4 linked regions of the Macaca fascicularis genome follow. The protein of the gene in region 4 binds, or shares a complex with, the protein of the main gene of each other region. Links are inferred from orthologs where the notes say so. Each region holds a gene or a part of one and is shown on either strand. Other genes may lie near its edges.

The links.
Region 1: the proteins of MAPK1 (region 4) and DHPS are in contact, whole or in part, in a cryo-EM structure (PDB 8PVU), measured with the Homo sapiens proteins. The link is inferred for Macaca fascicularis from reciprocal best matches to the Homo sapiens genes MAPK1 and DHPS. Residues at the interface, in NP_002736.3 of Homo sapiens: Tyr113, Tyr187, Ala189, Thr190, Arg191, Trp192, Arg225, Lys231, His232, Tyr233, Leu234, His239, Lys259; in NP_001921.1 of Homo sapiens: Arg159, Glu160, Asn161, Asn164, Asn173, Glu174, Tyr176, Cys177, Glu180, Asp181, Met184, Asp188, Asp243, Phe247, Tyr250.
Region 2: the proteins of MAPK1 (region 4) and PTPN7 are in contact, whole or in part, in a crystal structure (PDB 3D42), measured with the Homo sapiens proteins. The link is inferred for Macaca fascicularis from reciprocal best matches to the Homo sapiens genes MAPK1 and PTPN7. Residues at the interface, in NP_002736.3 of Homo sapiens: Thr185, Glu186, Tyr187, Val188; in NP_001351807.1 of Homo sapiens: Arg124, Tyr125, Lys126, Ile128, Asp257, His258, Ser292, Ala293, Gly294, Ile295, Gly296, Arg297, Gln335.
Region 3: the proteins of MAPK1 (region 4) and DUSP6 are in contact, whole or in part, in a crystal structure (PDB 2FYS), measured with the Rattus norvegicus proteins. The link is inferred for Macaca fascicularis from reciprocal best matches to the Homo sapiens genes MAPK1 and DUSP6. Residues at the interface, in NP_446294.1 of Rattus norvegicus: Glu79, Glu107, Thr108, Leu113, Gln117, Leu119, Asp122, His123, Tyr126, Phe127, Gln130, Thr157, Thr158, Cys159, Asp160, Tyr314, Asp316, Asp319; in NP_446335.1 of Rattus norvegicus: Arg64, Arg65, Leu66, Gln67, Lys68, Gly69, Asn70, Leu71, Pro72, Val73, Arg74.

The regions. Positions count from the first base shown.
Region 1 is NC_088393.1:13,065,680-13,069,871, reverse strand, and holds the start of DHPS (deoxyhypusine synthase), read left to right. Parts: upstream 1-1,392; 5' UTR 1,393-1,506; coding exon 1,507-1,713; exon of another isoform or gene 1,714-1,732; intron 1,733-1,874; exon of another isoform or gene 1,875-1,963; intron 1,964-2,899; coding exon 2,900-3,064; intron 3,065-3,302; coding exon 3,303-3,424; intron 3,425-3,505; coding exon 3,506-3,602; intron 3,603-3,681; coding exon 3,682-3,768; intron 3,769-4,192. UniProt on the Homo sapiens protein: Catalyzes the NAD-dependent oxidative cleavage of spermidine and the subsequent transfer of the butylamine moiety of spermidine to the epsilon-amino group of a critical lysine residue of the eIF-5A precursor protein to form the intermediate deoxyhypusine residue.
Region 2 is NC_088375.1:59,915,368-59,919,418, forward strand, and holds the start of PTPN7 (tyrosine-protein phosphatase non-receptor type 7), read right to left. Parts: upstream 2,801-4,051; 5' UTR 2,783-2,800; coding exon 2,520-2,782; exon of another isoform or gene 1,431-2,519; coding exon 1,257-1,430; intron 260-1,256; coding exon 76-259; intron 1-75. UniProt on the Homo sapiens protein: Protein phosphatase that acts preferentially on tyrosine-phosphorylated MAPK1. Plays a role in the regulation of T and B-lymphocyte development and signal transduction.
Region 3 is NC_088385.1:96,315,958-96,320,162, reverse strand, and holds the start of DUSP6 (dual specificity protein phosphatase 6), read left to right. Parts: upstream 1-1,405; 5' UTR 1,406-1,869; coding exon 1,870-2,269; intron 2,270-2,883; coding exon 2,884-3,321; intron 3,322-4,205. UniProt on the Homo sapiens protein: Dual specificity protein phosphatase, which mediates dephosphorylation and inactivation of MAP kinases. Has a specificity for the ERK family. Plays an important role in alleviating chronic postoperative pain.
Region 4 is NC_088384.1:31,257,359-31,261,642, reverse strand, and holds the start of MAPK1 (mitogen-activated protein kinase 1), read right to left. Parts: upstream 2,801-4,284; 5' UTR 2,593-2,800; coding exon 2,474-2,592; intron 1-2,473. UniProt on the Homo sapiens protein: Serine/threonine kinase which acts as an essential component of the MAP kinase signal transduction pathway. MAPK1/ERK2 and MAPK3/ERK1 are the 2 MAPKs which play an important role in the MAPK/ERK cascade.

The DNA of each region.
Region 1 (4,192 bases), on a different chromosome or scaffold from region 4:
GGGCCGAGATCGCGTCACAGCACTCCAGCCTGGCGACAGAGTGAGACCCTATCAAACAACAGCAGACCGGGCGCGGTGGCTCAAGCCTGTAATCCCAGCACTTTGGGAGGCCGAGATGGGTGGATCATGAGGTCAGGAGATCCAGACCATCCTGGCTAACACGGTGAAACCCCGTCTCTACTAAAAAATACAAAAAATTAGCCGGGCGAGGTGGCGGGCGCCTGTAGTCTCAGCTACTTGGGAGGCTGAGGCAGGAGAATGGCGTGAACCCGGGAGGCGGAGCTTGCAGTGAGCTGAGATCCGGCCACTGCACTCCAGCCTGGGCGACAGAGCAAGACTCCGTCTCAAAAAAAAAAAAAAAAAAAAAAGGTAACAACAACAAAACCAGCGTCTCCTCCCGAGGGGACAGAACAGAAACGAATGGGCGAGCGCCGGCAAAGCGGTGGGTCTCCAGCAGGCGGCATTAAAATCTTGGCTGGGGGCAGTGGCTCACGCCTGTAATCCCAGCACTTTGGAAGGCCGAGGCGGACGGATCACGTGAGGTCAGAACCAGCCTTGTCAACATGGTGAAATGCCGTCTCTACTGAAAATACGAAAATTAGCCAGGCGTGGTGGTGGGTGCCTATAATCCCAGCAACTCGGGAGGCTGAGGCAGGAGAATCGCTTGAACTAGGGGAGCAGGGTTTGCCGTGAGCCGAGATTGCAACACTGCACTCCAGCCTGCGTAACAAGAGTATAACTCTGTCTCAAAAATAAATTAAATAAATAATACAAATAAAAAAGAATCTTCATGCGAAGTCGGGAACACATGAAAAGGCGTAAAGGCCTGGCGCGGTGGCTCACGCCTGTAATCCCAGCACTTTGGGAGGCCCGAGGCGGGCGGATCACCTGAGGTCGGAAGTTCGAGACCAGTCTGACCAACAAAGGGAAACCCTGTCTCTACTAAAAATACAAAATTAGCCGCGCGTGGTGGTGTATGCCTGTAGTCCCAGCTACTTGGGAGGCTGAGGAAGGAGAATCGCTTGAACCCGGAAGGTGGAGGTTGCAGTGAGCTGAGATTGCGCAATTGCACTCCAGCCTGGGCGACAAGAGTGAAACCCTGTATCGAATGAAAGAAGAAAGGAAGGAAGGAAGGAGGACGGGAGGGAGGGAGGGAGAGAGGGAAAAGGAAAGAAAGGAAGGAAAGAAAAGGAAGGAAGGAAGGAAAGAAAGAACAAAGAAACGAAAAAAAGAAAGAAATGAAGAAAGAAAGAAAAAAGAAAAAGACAAGACCTAAAGGCTCCTCGCGGCTTCCGTATTACGGAACACATGCGCAAAGATGGCGGCGACCAGGTTTACAGGGCCTAAAAATGGTCACGTGAAAAATCAACTTCCGGTCTTTCTTCCAAAAACGCATTCCCTACTTCCTGTGCTCCTGCGAGACGCGCGCGTCGGGGATTAACGCGTTTCTGGGCCGCCGTAAGCCCGGCTAGGGGCCGCTGTGACTCGAGAGCTGGCTACAGGCGCATGGAAGGTTCCCCGGAACGGGAGGCGCCAGCGGCGGCGCTGGCCGCCGTGCTAAAGCACAGCTCGACGTTGCCGCCCGAAAGCACCCAGGTTCGGGGCTACGACTTCAACCGCGGTGTGGATTACCGCGCGCTGCTGAAAGCCTTCGGCACCACCGGCTTCCAGGCCACCAACTTCGGGCGCGCTGTACAGCAAGTCAATGCCATGGTGAGGACGGGGGCGGGACTTCTAGGGACGCGGAGGGGCGTGGCTTGCAGAACCAGTGCGGTACGGGGCAGGGCTTCCAGTGGAGGGGATGTGTCTTTTATTTGAGCGGCCCAATAGTTGGAGGAAGGCGGGACCTATTCTGGGCGGGAGTTTCTGTCCTGGGAAGGGGATTTTGCACTGTAGTAGTTACAGGGTAGTACGGTAGCCCGAGGAGGCAAGGACTGATTCTCGGTGTGGGAGCGGGTTCCAGGTAAATTTACAGCTTTCTGGAATGGGCGGAGCCTGAGGCTATACAAGTTAAGGGAGGATTTGGGAGGAGGAGCCTAAGTCTGGGCGGTGATTGAATTTAGATTTGCTTTTCCCAGCGGGGAAGGGACCGGATCTGAAAGGAGATGCTCTCTGATTCCTAAAAACGTGGGGGCTGGCTGGGCGCGGTGGCTTATGCCTGTAATCCCAGCATTTTGGGAAGCCGAGGCGGGTGGATCACTAGATCAGGAGTTCGAGACCAGCCTGGCCAACATGGTGAAACCCTGTCTCTACTAAAATTCAAAAAATTAGCCGGGCATGGTGATGCGCGCCTGTAGTCCCAGCTACTCCGGAGGCTGAGGCAGGAGAATCGCTTCAACCCGGAAGGTTGCAGCGAGATCGCGCCACTGCAATCCAGTCTGGTGACAGAGCCATACTCTGTCTCAAAAAAAAAAAAAAAAAAAGGCCGGGCACGGTGGCTCACGCCTGTAATCTCAGCATTTGGGGAGGCTGAGGCGGGCGGATCACCTGAGGTCGAGAGTTCGAGACCAGCCTGACCAACATGGAGAAACCCCGTCTCTACTAAAAAGACATACCTGTAATCTCAGCTACTTGGGAGGCTGAGGCAGGAGAATTGCTTGAACCTGAGAGACGGAGGTTGCGGTGAGCCAAAATTGCGCCATTGCACTCTAGCCTGGGCAACAAGAGTGAAACTCTGTCTAAAAAAAATGGGTGGGGGCAAATCCTTAACACGTGTCCTGAGATCTGGTCTGGGAAGGGGCAGAGTTTGCACAGGAGATGTACCTTGGTCTCCTGTAGAACTGGTCCTGTATCCCTGACTGTGCAGGGCCTGGGGTGAAATCTGTTTCTGGACCCCACCTGGAGTCCTGGGTCTGGGATTTAACGCCAGTGCTTAACTCGACCTGGCTCTTACTCTCAGATCGAGAAGAAGCTGGAACCACTGTCACAGGATGAAGACCAGCATGCAGACCTGACCCAGAGCCGCCGCCCACTTACCGGCTGCACCATTTTCCTGGGATATACATCCAACCTCATCAGTTCAGGCATCCGTGAGACCATTCGCTACCTTGTGCAGCACAACATGGTGGGGACCTGGTGGGGCCGTGGCCTTGGCCTCTGGGTCAATGGGCGATGCAGTTATTGATCGTTTAAGTGAGATGGGGAGATAGGAGTCTGTTACAAGCAGAGGAACAGAATCGAGTTTTGTTTTGTAGCAGAGCTCCCTCGTAGGAGTCACTGGACAAGGATGAGGTTAGAAGTCCTGCCCAGAATGAGGGCCGGGGCTTCCTTCTTGGGCCAACTTCACTGCCCTGTGGCTGCAGGTGGATGTATTGGTGACCACAGCTGGCGGCGTGGAGGAGGACCTCATCAAGTGCCTGGCGCCCACATACTTGGGCGAGTTTAGCCTCAGGGGGAAGGAGCTCCGGGAGAACGGAATCAATAGGTGAGAACCCTGAGTGGTGCTGGGCAGGGGAGCTGGACCAAGGGTCCTGGGGCCTGATGCCCACATGCTTCCCGTCCTCAGGATCGGAAACCTGCTGGTGCCCAATGACAATTACTGCAAGTTTGAGGACTGGCTGATGCCCATTCTGGACCAGATGGTGCTGGAGCAGAACACAGAGGTGGGGCTGGGGCAACCTGGAGGGGCCAGTCCAGTGGGAGTCAGGGGAGGCATGGCCTGAAGCTCACCTCCTCTCCTAGGGTGTAAAGTGGACGCCTTCTAAGATGATCGCCCGGCTGGGCAAGGAGATCAACAACCCAGAGTCCGTGTATTACTGGGCCCAGAAGGTGAGGACCTAAGCGGGGGCAAAGTAGCCAGACTTTGACATGTGTTACTTCATCTTTCCAGCCACCTGGGGATTCACCACTGTTATTCTCAGCATCCTCACGCTTAGATGAGGAGACTCAAACACAGATAGGCATGGTAAATTTTTTTTTTTTTTTTTTTGAGACAGGATCTGGCTCTGTCACCTAGGCTGGAGTGCAGTGATGTGATCACAGCTCACTGCAGCCTCAACCTCCTGGGGCCAAGCAGTCCTCCCACCTCAGCCTCTCGAGTAGCTGGGACCACAGGCACATGCCACCATGACCAGCTAATTTTTTTTTTTTTTTTTTTTTTTTGAGACGGAGTCTCGCTCTGCCGCCCAGGCTGGAGTGCAGTGGCCGGATCTCAGCTCACTGCAAGCTCCGCCTCCCGGGTTCACGCCATTCT
Region 2 (4,051 bases), on a different chromosome or scaffold from region 4:
CGTGAGAGAATGGTTCCAGCTGGCTGCCTCTGATACAGAGGGCAGAGTGATTCGGAGGGGACCCCAATTTCTTACCAAGAATTCTTCTTCCAGCTGCTTGGGGCTGGGTGGCTGGTGCTGAAGGGCCCAGCGGGTAAGAGGGTGTCCAGCAGTGCGCAGGAAATGTAGGGTGACCTCCCGGGGTGTGTTCACGGAGCAGATGGGTTCTACGGCCCCCAGCGACCGAACGTCCAACATCAGAGCCACATTGGAGCCCCGCCTGCAGGTATAGCCCCCCACTGCCTAGTGAGCACCCAATCATATTTGCTTTCCTTTTCTTTTTATCTTTTCTTTAAGACATAGGGTCTCTCTCTGTTGCCCAGGCTGGAGATAGGGTCTCTCTCTGTTGCCCAGGCTGGAGTGTGATGGCACAATTGTGGCTCACAGCAGCCTCAAACTCCTGGGCTGAAGCGATCCTCCCACCTCAGCTTCCAGAGTAGCTGGGACCACAGGCATATGCTACCACACCTGGCTAATTTAAATTTTTTTTTTTTTTTTTGGAGAGACAGGGTCTTGCTCTGTTGCTCAGGCTGGTTTTGAACTCAAGTGATCCTCCTGCCTTGGCTTCCCAAAGTGCTGGGATTATAGGCATGAGCCACTGTACCTGACCATATTTGCTTTTCTTACAAGTATTACTGTTATGAGGCACCTCTGAGGGGGCCGCTCTTTGTCTTTCCTTTAACCTGGAGGCCCAGTAAATTTAGGGTTCGGGCCCCTGCTGTATGCCCTCCTTTTTTTTTGAGAGAGAGGAGGTCTCACTATATTGCCTAGGCTGGTCTCTAATTCCTAGACTCAAGAGATCCTCTCACCTCAGCCTCCCAAAGTGCTGGGATTTGGGGCATGAGCTACCATGCCCGGCTCAGCCCTCTCCCTTTGTCAGCCAGAACAGGGCAGCCTTGAACTCAACTGCTTCTTCCAGCCGCCTGCCTCTTCCCACTCCCAGCCAGGCCCTGTGGCTCTGACATGCATCCAGCACCAAGAAAGCTGCTGGCCTTGCCTGGAATTTAGGGAGCAGGCCCAGGGTTGATATGAAACTCTGTGCTCCAGACATGCAAAAGACATGCAAATGAGCACTATTGGTTTCCTTTCCAAATAGGAGTCAACACCTGAGGGCCCTCTGGACCCTGCTGTCAGAGCTGGAGGAGCAGATGGAGGGAAGGGAGGAGCGGAATGGGGACGCAGGGCGGGGAAGACCCCTCTCCCAGGGAAGATCTCACCTCTCCTGGAGCCGTACATGCTTCTTGGCTGGCGTTTTGGCAGGCGGAGGCTGGGTCATGGCTGCCCCCAAAGACAAGGTCAGCGGCTGTGCTCTGGAGCGCCCCCCACAGGCCTGGACCATGCTGGGGTGGGGTGCTAGGCCCAGGGGAGGCTCATTCAGCCATGAGGTCTGCCTGAAAGACAGGGTCCTCCGCTGCTGTTCTCTGGCCTGCTGATTGGCCAGAAGGAGGCTCCCACGCTAGGCCGGCTTTGCGCTCTTATTTTCACTGGGTCGTCTTCTGTTTCCCAAGAGGTAGCCTCATTTTCACTAAGGGAAGGACAGGATCTATTTGGCGGGACCCAGGACACAAGGCAGTCTGGGGTCAGAGTAACGGCAAGATAAAGGGTAGAGATTGTGGATGAAGATAGGAAACAATCCAGAAGGAGGAAAAGAGAGAGGGGAGAGAGACCACACACCAGAGTACACAGGGCTCTGAGCGGGTCCAAGTGGGAGAAGGCAAGGGAGGAAACAGAAAACATGTGTTCTCTAGGACAGAAGGGAGAAAGCGTGCAGAAGCCATCTCTGAGCTAACCAGTGGGCCTTCTCCTGAACAGAGAATGGAGGCCTCCAGCAGTGTTGGAGCTGATTGGGCAGCCAGGCAGGCGGGCTCCTGGACCCCAGCAGGGTCCTCTCCTAACTGCTGCTGTTCCACTCCCAAGTCCATTTCTGGCTTCTGGGGTCTCTGTCCATGGAGGTAGGCTGGAGGTGTTTCCTTCCTCCTCCTGCCCATCCCCCCGTCTCCCGCCTCTGTAACCGTCACAGGAAATGGCCTCACCAAGCCCTTGAGCGACAGCGCATGGTGAGGCGACAGCTGGGGGCAAGACAGGGGGCATGGAGGTGATGGGACCATCTCCTCTTGGGGGCAGTCCCTATCTCCCAGAGCCAGGGTCACAGTGGGCGAGGTGGCGGGGCTGTTGAGTCACCAAGGCGGCAGGGATGGAGGTGAGGGGACAGAGTGGGCCCGGCACAGGTGTGGGTGGTAGAGCAACGGTCTCTGGCAGCAGAAAGGGTCCCTTCAGCCTTTGCTCTCCTTGCAGCTCCCTGTGGTTTCCCTGCTCACCCCCATCTTGGGGACACCAGGTCTGTGAGCACCCATTCCCCAGCCAGGCATTGGAGCGCCCCACTCGCCCTCCTGCACTCCCTCCTGAGATGCCCTCTTATATCCCCGGAGTTCGCACCCCCCAGGGCCACAGGACTCCCAGTCCCCGCTTCAGATACTTACTGAAGCAGCTGTGGCCCCCAGGCTGCCTCTTGCCAGCTGTCTGTCTGTCTGTCGGTCTGTCTTTGAGGGCTGAGAAGGCTCCAGGAAGCCAGCTTCCTCCCTCCGCCCCTCCTTGCTGCCACCCACGCACACCCCAGCTGCATTCTGCCCTCCTGTGCCTGCTGCCGCTGCCACCAGGGGTCGGCTGCCTCCCGCCTGTGCCCTTCTGGGGCCCAAGGCCCTGTTCCCTGGGAATGGGTGAGGGGCCAGGCCTTCCCGACCATCCTGCTTTCCCCAGCTTCCAGACCCTCTCCCCTCCTGCTGTGTTTCTCCTCTGGGTCTTTGTCACATCCAGCCACTGCCTACTTGCTGGGCACAGCTCGCCTGACCCCCAGCTTTGTGCTGTCCCACAAAGAACCCAAGGCTCTCCTGCTCAACCTGACCTTGGCCGGAGGCTTATTTCTGCTTCTCTGCTTCTGCCTCACAGTCCTCTCCCTCAAAGCCCTTGCTGCTTCAAGCCTTGGGAATTCATGGCCAAGCACAGACCACATCTTCCCAGAGCAGATGTGGCACAGACTTGGGGTGGGGAAAAAGAGGAGGCAAGAATCCATGCCTCACAATGTGAAGGAAAGGCCTGGGGCCAGGCCAAAAAGGTCGTCTCCACGCCCTGTGCCACGGCCCAGCTCTCCACAGCCCGCGGCCTGAATGTAGGCCAGCCCAGCAGGAAACAGATAGCAGAGTCCACTTGTGGGAGGGAGTCTGAGGGGCTTCCCCTGGGCCCCCAGCCCCCTGCAGGCCTCCTCCCAGAACCCTGACATCTACTTAGAAGACTTACAGACAGTGGAGAGTCTCTGGCCCTCACACCAGGGGACTCCCATGTCCTCTTCGCTGCTGGGGTGCCTGGATGCCTGGGACCTGAAGGGTGGCCCCCAAGTCCAAGACTCCTCTGCCCACTGCCCCTGCCTGGCCTTGGCAGGCTCCTTGCGGGCCAGCAGCCCAGCCGATTCATGCTTGCTGCAGGCCTCCTTTTACCTTGTAACATTTCAAACGCCCTTCCCTTCCCGGCCCCCAACACGCGCAATCCACGTCCTCTTTCTTCCTCCCACTTCCCTGATTCAGCTGTCAAATGGTGACAGCAAAAAAGAAATGAGGTACCCTAGACACAGGGGGTAGGCATGCCGGAGGGGGTGGTCGGGAGGGGGCTGGCCTTCTGCTGGCCCCTTGGGGAGGAGGGTTGAGATGAAGAACAAGAACGGCTCTCAGAGGCTCAGAAGGCCTCCCAGCACCCGCCCTTGCTCTGGGCAGTGGGGACAGGGGCTGGCTCTTTTTTGAGCTCCTCCATGGCCAGCTGATCCTGGCGCCTCCTTCCCTGCAGCCTGCGCTCCTCTCCAGAGTGGGTGGGTTTCCCCGAGGAGGAGGCCAATTAGGGCTGGGAAATGGGTTGGCTCCTGTGCTCAGGAGAGAGTGGAGGGGAGCAGGAACCTGGGAATCCCTAACATGCTTGCGGGCAGTGACCCGGAGACTGGCCTCTGCCTCACCCCCCACACCAGTCA
Region 3 (4,205 bases), on a different chromosome or scaffold from region 4:
GCTGGCTCTGCAGGGCGGTAGAGACGTTCCCCTCGACTCCTTGGGAGCCAGGAGCCAGGGGGGTCCAGGCAGGCACTCGTCCTTGCTCCTCCCACCCGCCCCACATCTTTATGGAACCGGGAGTCCCGCGCTCAGCCCAGTACCCGTCCACTGCATCGCGCACAACCCCCTGCCCGCCAAGCGGGGAGACGGGGACAGCGGGGCGGTGGCAGGGAGCGCAGCGCGCAGGCGCGACTAGTGCTCCCCGGAGTGCCCGGCGCTGGACAAAGGGAGGAGGCGGCGGCAGGAGAGGGCTGGGGAGGCCCCCTCTGACATGCCTCCCTGCCAACTAACCAATCGTCAAGCCCCCCTGCTGAGGCCCCGCAGCCTGCAGGCCTTCCCCACTCCTCGCCCATGGCGGGGACTGCCGGCCTGGCCCGGCGCGTCCCAGCACACCTCGCCCAGGCAGCCCCGCCAGACCGGCTCCTCCGTCAGAAGCCGAGCTCCTTGCCCAGAAATCATTAACGAGCGCGACCCCCCAGCAGGCGACGGTGGTGATGGGGTGGGGGGAGAGATTTAGATCCCCGGAACAATGGCTTGTAACTCCCCACGCCGCTGGAGCGGAATACAGTAAAAGCACTGGACTGACCTAAGAGTTTGTTTCTGCACTCTACATTGTTTTAAAGAAAATAAAATGTTACTTTAAGAAAAAAGGTTTCCTTCTGATTTTCTGAACAACCAGACGTTTGTTTGTTTGCTTTAAAATGTTTCAACAAAATCCTGGTTTGTTTCGAAATATGTTGGATTAGCATTTAACACCTCATCGGTCACTAAAGCCCAGTCAATTCACCAGCCCCAACACAGCCTCGGCTAAAAGAACATCAGAGCAAACAGAGCTAGGCCTTTAAAACTGGCAAACAAATGCCACACACCGCCTAAAGAAGGGGGGTTGGGGGAGGGGAGGGTTAAGGCGAACTTGGGTCCAAATGAGTTTGAAGAGAATACAAAGAACAAAAAGTCAGCACAAGTTTTCCTAAAGCTAGCTCGCGAACGCTAGCGTCGCGAACAAGGGCTTTTGTGCATGCTAATTGCGCCATTGGTGCGCAAAAGTTCCGACGCGAAGTGTGAACTCTCAACAGAAGGAAACATGAGACAACTGAAGTGCCCTGGTTTATGTGCCCTGCTCCTCCTCCGCTGCCGCCTCCCCTTCTTTCTCCTTCCTCCCGCCGAGCCCGCTGTTGCAGCTTGTTTGCACTGGGGCTTATCCGGAGCGGAAATTCCTTTCCGTTTTTGTGAATGACAAACTCATTAACAATTCATCAACACAACCTGTTCCAGCCGGCCCGTCCCCACGGCAACAGCCCCTTCCGCAGCACGCTCATTGGCTGGCCCGGAGAATGTATCCATTGAGACGCTCGCTGTTTGTATCCATTGAGGAGCTGCCTCGCGCAGGGGGTGTGCGAGGCTGAGTCCAAGGGATAGTGAGCAAATCGAGTCTTAAATAATCCGGGGAGAAAGACGCCCGGGTAGATTTGAGGTGCAGACTTGGCGGGAGGGATTAGGAACCGCTAGACTTTTTTTCCTCCCCTCTCAGTAGAACTGAGTCCGAATTAATTGGATTTCATTCACTGGGGAGGAACAAAAACTGTCTGGGCAGCTTCATTGAGAGATTCATTGACACTAACAGCCAGCGGCTGCAGCTGGGTGCAGAAAGAACCTCCGGCTTTACTTCTGTCTCGTCTTCCCCAACCGCTAGCCTCGGCTTGGGTTAGGCGAGGCGGAATTAAACCCCGCTCCGAGAGCGGCAGCTTCACGCGCAGCGCGCTCGGCCTATGCCTGCCCCGAGGGGCGTCTGGTAGGCACCCCGCCCTCTCCCGCAGCTCGACCCCCATGATAGATACGCTCAGACCCGTGCCCTTCGCGTCGGAAATGGCGATCAGCAAGACGGTGGCGTGGCTCAACGAGCAGCTGGAGCTGGGCAACGAGCGGCTGCTGCTGATGGACTGCCGGCCGCAGGAGCTGTACGAGTCGTCGCACATCGAGTCGGCCATCAACGTGGCCATCCCGGGCATCATGCTGCGGCGCCTGCAGAAGGGCAACCTGCCGGTGCGCGCACTCTTCACGCGCGGCGAGGACCGGGACCGCTTCACCCGGCGCTGCGGCACCGACACAGTGGTGCTCTACGACGAGAGCAGCAGCGACTGGAACGAGAATACGGGCGGCGAGTCAGTGCTAGGGCTGCTGCTCAAGAAGCTCAAGGACGAGGGTTGCCGGGCGTTCTACCTGGAAGGTACGCGCCCGGGGAACTCCGCGCGCGGGGCAGGGCGAGGGGCGCAGGGCTGCGGGCGGGGCGCGTGGACTGAAAATGCCTCTGCTGCGCTCAGCTGGCGCTTCGGAGCCGCGCTGCTAGCCTAGGGGCCGGCAGCCGGCAAGGTATCGGCCGCGAACCGCGCGTTCCGCACCAGAGAACCGGGCCGGCTCAGAATCCACCCGCTTCCGGCTGCGGGTACCGGCGGTTTCTTTCTAACGGGTTCTGCGCCTTCTTACCCAGAACATTCTCCTCCATCACCCTATTTTCTATCGTTCGATTTTGAATTAAGATTTGGAGGACCGGAGAGATTGTTGGGGATGCAAATTGGCACATCCTAGCTTTCAAAATATTCCAAAAAGTTGCCATTTTGTGTATTTCCGGATTCAAACGAATAAGGGTTCTCTGGCGAGGCGGGCCCGTTCGTTCCATTCCCGAGGGTGCACATTTAAAGTGTATTTCTATTATTTATGGTTCTGTATGTAGGGGGTTCGTAGGGTGCTTGTGGTGTTTCTTGCGCCGGGTTGCGGTTCTTACAAGCTGTGAAAACTACTACGGCTTCTCGGGTTACACGATTGCTTTTCTCGTTCTGGCAGGTGGCTTCAGTAAGTTCCAAGCCGAGTTCGCCCTGCATTGCGAGACCAATCTAGACGGCTCGTGTAGCAGCAGCTCGCCGCCGTTGCCAGTGCTGGGGCTCGGGGGCCTGCGGATCAGCTCTGACTCTTCCTCGGACATTGAGTCTGACCTTGACCGAGACCCCAATAGTGCAACAGACTCGGATGGCAGTCCGCTGTCCAACAGCCAGCCTTCCTTCCCGGTGGAGATCTTGCCCTTCCTTTACTTGGGTTGTGCCAAAGACTCCACCAACTTGGACGTGTTGGAGGAATTCGGCATCAAGTACATCTTGAACGTCACCCCCAATTTGCCGAATCTCTTTGAGAACGCAGGAGAGTTTAAATACAAGCAAATCCCCATCTCGGATCACTGGAGCCAAAACCTGTCCCAGTTTTTCCCTGAGGCCATTTCTTTCATAGGTGAGACTAATTAATAGTAGTCGTTCTGACATTTAAATGCAAAATTCCCAGCCATTCATAGAGTTTAAGCTGTTAATCGTTCTTGCTGCTTGCTAATTTGTCGTACTGCAGGTCTCTAATTTTCCTAAAGCGTCCTTAATTCTGGTTTATCTTCTCGCTAAGGGAAGAAAACCTGCCTTTTGATATGGCTGCAGATTACAGGTGTATTTGAAACGCTGTTTCTGTGAATCTTTGAATTCAGTCATTTGACAGTCGTTCATAATCGGACAACAGATTTTTCCCACAGTCTTGGACTCAGGGGAAGGGTCAGATAGAAGTATTCACTATAGACAGAAATTCCAGCATTGCTTTATAATTTTAAAAAACCTAGGAGTTATTTTAGGACGTCAAGTTAGTTGTTGGAAAGCAGTATGAATGCTAAATGTTATCCAGTTGAATGATACTGTGATACTGGTAACAGTGAGACAGTGGGTAACCTGAGCCCAGAAGGAAGAACTGTGGGCTGGAAGCCTGGGAGAAGTGAATCTCCAGGCATTGTAATGCATTTCCTATTACAAAGGAACTCATTTTCAGGCCATGTCGACATCCTGTTCCTCCTAATGGGCCGTCCCCTGTGACTTCCCTCTCTCTTTTAAAATGCCTGAATACCTCCATTGTTAGCTGCACAACATTTGGAGAATAATTTAATAGACCCTTGCAGTCTGGTTGTCTGTATAAAAGGCATTCACGAACATATTGCAGGGTTTCTGGTATTCACATGCTGAGGCAAAGAATGCACCCATTAAGGAGTTTTTTGTTGGCAGAAACTTAATACAAAAGCTCTCTTTTCAGAAAATATCTGAAATATGTAATTGTGTCCAGTGTACATGTTTAATTTCAATGAT
Region 4 (4,284 bases):
CATTTTTTAAAAGATCACTATTCAAATATTAGTGAATATTTCAACAAGCCCTCCATAAACCCAGCACTGCTAGCCAACATTTATTAAATGCTAATAACGTGCAATGGAGAAGGTTAACAGCAGGGTATGTCATCAACCTGATAAAAGGCTATAATCTGGATCTAGGATTCAAATTCCAATTATATTTGTATTTCACTTAGGAAAAGAAAATCACAAAAAGAGGACTTAGCATTTCAAATGGAGAGTCAGATGGTCAAATAAGCCTACAGCAGTGACAGAAGTGGTTCCCACATCTAAATAACTTCAGACTAATAAAAACCTTATCAGACAGGAGAAATCTTATCAGATGGGGGTATCTTTTCAATTGACATGTCCTAAACGTAAAAGACTTTTTTCAGTCCACATTTTAGATAAGCTAATCTTGTTAAAAGGGCCAAAGGATGTGATGGGAAATTCTGAGCCTCTCATAATGAGACATGTTCACTGGCACGCTTCCCAGTGAGTGCAACAGCAATGAGATGTATGGTGGAGAAATAATGCTACTGGCAATACTTTCTCTTCATTACTTTTCAGGGCCTTACTTCTTTTAGGCTCGACCTAATTTAAATTCTCTCTTGGCTCCTAAGCCTGTAAGTTCATATTAATTTTCACAGTTGTATTCAGCATTTTGCTCCTAAAGAAAGTGAAAACATTAAAGATTCAATTAAAGTCTCTTTTAAAAGAATTTTAACTAATCTTTCTGTCTAGCTACCATACTTGGTAAAACATGCCTTCTATGGCATTTCTAAAATTATGATGATTGAAATTTGAATACATTTCTGAAACAGACTTGTATTTACTTTGTAACAGTAAGATACAGAAAATTCTGCAAGTATTAATTACACTAAGGAACGCAGAGTGTTTTCCTAAAGACAGCTGAAAAGAGCTGCAGTGTGTCTAGTAGAATCTCAGTCTACAATCTTAATAACTCTAGTTCTATGACCTCAGGAATTGGCTTCACCTCGAAACACTTTCTCACCTGAAAAAAGGAATAACACCATCTTTTCCTCCCTCAATGTGGCTGTTCAAATAAAATGAAATAATATATGTAGCACAGTACCTGCCACGAAGTGCTCAATAAATTATTAGTTTACTTCCTTCAGTCAACACAAAAGACACATTCACAAGATTCAGATTTAAGGAAATCTATTTCCACAAGTCCTCACCAGCACAAAATGCTACCGCTAGTTTGCTTTAATAAAAACAATACCGTCAGCGGGGCGCGGTGGCTCACGCCTGTAATCCCAGCACTTTGGGAGGCCGAGACGGGCGGATCACTAGATCAATAGATCGAGACCATCCGGGTCAACATGGTGACACCCTGTCTCTACTAAAAAATACAAAAATTAGCCGGGCGTGGTGGCGCGCGCCTGCAGTCTCAGCTACTAGGGAGGCTGAGGCAAGAGAATCGCTTGAACCTAGGAGGCGGAGGTTGAAGTGAACAGAGATCGCGCCACTGCACTTCAGCCTGGGCAACAGAGCGAGACCCCGTCTCAAAAAAAAGAGAGAAAGAAAAACCGTCACTATCATTTCACTTTTCTAAGGGACCTGAATCAAGATGAGGGAGTCTACACGTGATTCTGCAATAACTCCATTAAGGCTGCATACATAATGACCACTAAATCATTAACAGGAGTCCATAGCAATTGGGCTAAAACATCTGGGAGCATTTATGCTGGTAAAAGAGCTCACTTGGGGGCTAAAAAAAAGTCAAATTAGGCCCAACTCTAAATGGATCTTTAATAAATGAAGAGAGTAATGTTGGTTTATCCTTCCTGAAACGCTAGCAGTACGATATTAAAATCCACTTGAAAGTACAAACTTCAAGACGGAAATACTCCACCAACACTGGTGTCAGTAATCCATTTTAGAAAGCCTGCGCGGAGACCACCATTAGCACCGCTGAGGACAGTTAATGAAAGCCGTTGGCTGCAAACAGAGGCGAGGAGAGAAAAATTATTTCGGTGTTCTGCACACACACGGAGGCGAACCGCTTTCAGGACCTCAGCAGCCACCGCCGCCAACACCGACAAGCATCTGATGGAATTCCCGGTTTTACAATCGAAAGTCCAAAAGAAGGCCATGATACTAGCAAATTGGGGGGTGGAGGCGCTTCCGTTGCCTTCCCGAGGGTCCAGACTTTAAAGGCGGCGCTGCGCCCGGGGCCGAGGGTCCACTAGTCCCGGCCTCCGCCCCCCGCCCCCCACGCTGCGCCCCTTCCCGAGCGACCGCCGGCCCGGGAAGCGCGAGAGCAACACCACCTAAACCTCAACCGGCCCAGGGCCCCGCCCGAGCCCTGGCGCGCGGACCGCAGTGAAGTCCGGGTTCGAGGTCGCCGCGGCGCCCGAGGCCGAGGCGCCGGCGAGGCCGAGGCTGCGTCCGCTGCGGCCCCGGGCGGCGGGGGGGCCGGGCGTGGCCGGGCGCGGACACTCACCACACCATGCCGTAGGCACCCTCGCCGATGTACGAGAGGTTGGTGTAGCGCGGTCCCACGTCGAACACCTGCCCGCGGACCATCTCCGGGCCCGCGCCCGCCGCCGCCGCCGCCGCCATGTTGGCTGCCGGGCCGCCGCCGCCTCCGCCGCGCTGAGCTCGACGCTCGGCGGCCGCCGCTCAGCTTCTATCGCCCCTCCTGAAGGGACTGTGCCGCCGCCGGTGCAGCCGCCGCCGCTGACCGGGAGGAGGAAAGAAGACGCCGTGTGGCAGACCTGAAGAGCCCACGACAACTCGGACCGACTGCCTGCCTGCCTGCCAGACTGACGGGCGGGCCGGCGGGCGGGCGCAGGGAGGGGCGCGCGCCGAGAAGGGTGCCCGGGCGGGGCCAAGCAGCGTGCATGCGGATTGGTTCCTAGCGGCTGGGGGCGGGGCCGCGCGGCCCAGCGGAAGCGGCGGGCTCCGGGAGGGGCACTGCGCGGCGTTGACTAAGGGGGCACCACCGGGCGCGGTCACGTGCGTTCGCGGGGGCGTCGGCGCGGGACTTGTCTCTTCAGACACCCAGGGAGACAGACGTGGGGCAGAACCCACGGGGCTGAAGTGAGAGATGGCAGGGGCCCGGGCGAGCACCCGAGGAAGTACCGAACAGAGCCAGCGAGGGACAAGGGGCTGTGCTTGAGGCCCGACGACGCGCCATAGCCCGGCCGCGCCACAGCTCAGGCCTCTGCGAATCCGTGGTCCACACGCTGATGAACTTAAGAGGCCTTGGCACTGGGGCAGAAACCGAAAGGCATGACCCCAGACCGAGAAAGATATTTGCATACTGAGAAAGTGTGAAACACAATTGTTGAGATTAAAAGGAGACAGAGAGGATACGCGAATCAGGTTGGTTCAGATGTTTGTTGAGCACACTCCATGTTCCTGGGAGTTACTTTTTAGAGAGAGACAGACAGACAAATACGTGTAATACTCAAGTTGTGATAAGTACGTTGAAGAAGTACAGAGCAGAAGGGAGGGTGCGGTGTCTCACGCCTGTCACTTTGGGAGGCCAAGGCGGGCGGATCACTTGAGATCAGGAGTTTGAGACCAGGTCTCTACTGAAAATACAAAAATTAAGTCCGGGCGAGGTGGCTCATGCCTGTAATCCCAGCACTTTGGGAAACTGAGGCGGGCGGATCACGAGATCAGGAGTTCAAAACCAGCCTGGCCAACATGGTAAAACCCCGTCTCTACTAAAAATATAAAATTTAACTGGGCGCGGTGGCGGGCGCCTGTTATCCCAGTTACTTGGGAGGCTGAGGCAGGAGGATGGCTTGAACACGGGAGGCGGAGGTTGCAGTGAGCCGAGATCGCCTCACTGCACTTCAGCCTGGGCGACAGAGCAAGACTCCGTCTCGAAAACAAAATAATAATAATACAAAAATTAGCTTGGCGTGGTGGTGGGTGCCTGTAATCCCAGCTACACGGGAGGCTGAGGCAGGAGAATCGCTTGAACCTGGGAGGAGGAGGTTATGGTGAGCCGCGCCACTGCACTCCAGGCTGGGCAACAGAGCAAGACTCCGTCTCCAAAAAAAAAAAAAAAAAAGGAAAGAAAAGAAAAAAGAAATACAAAGCAGAGAGTAAGGGATTAGGGGTCAGTGGGTCGAAACACATGAGAGATACATTTGCGTTCGGAAACAGACCCAGATTGGTACAGATGGGCAGAAATATTGACAGCAGGTACTGAAATAGAAATGCAAAGATGAAGTCACTAAAACCAAAACATGGAGATTTAGAGATAAAGAGACAGACACACCAGACCCAGAAACAGTC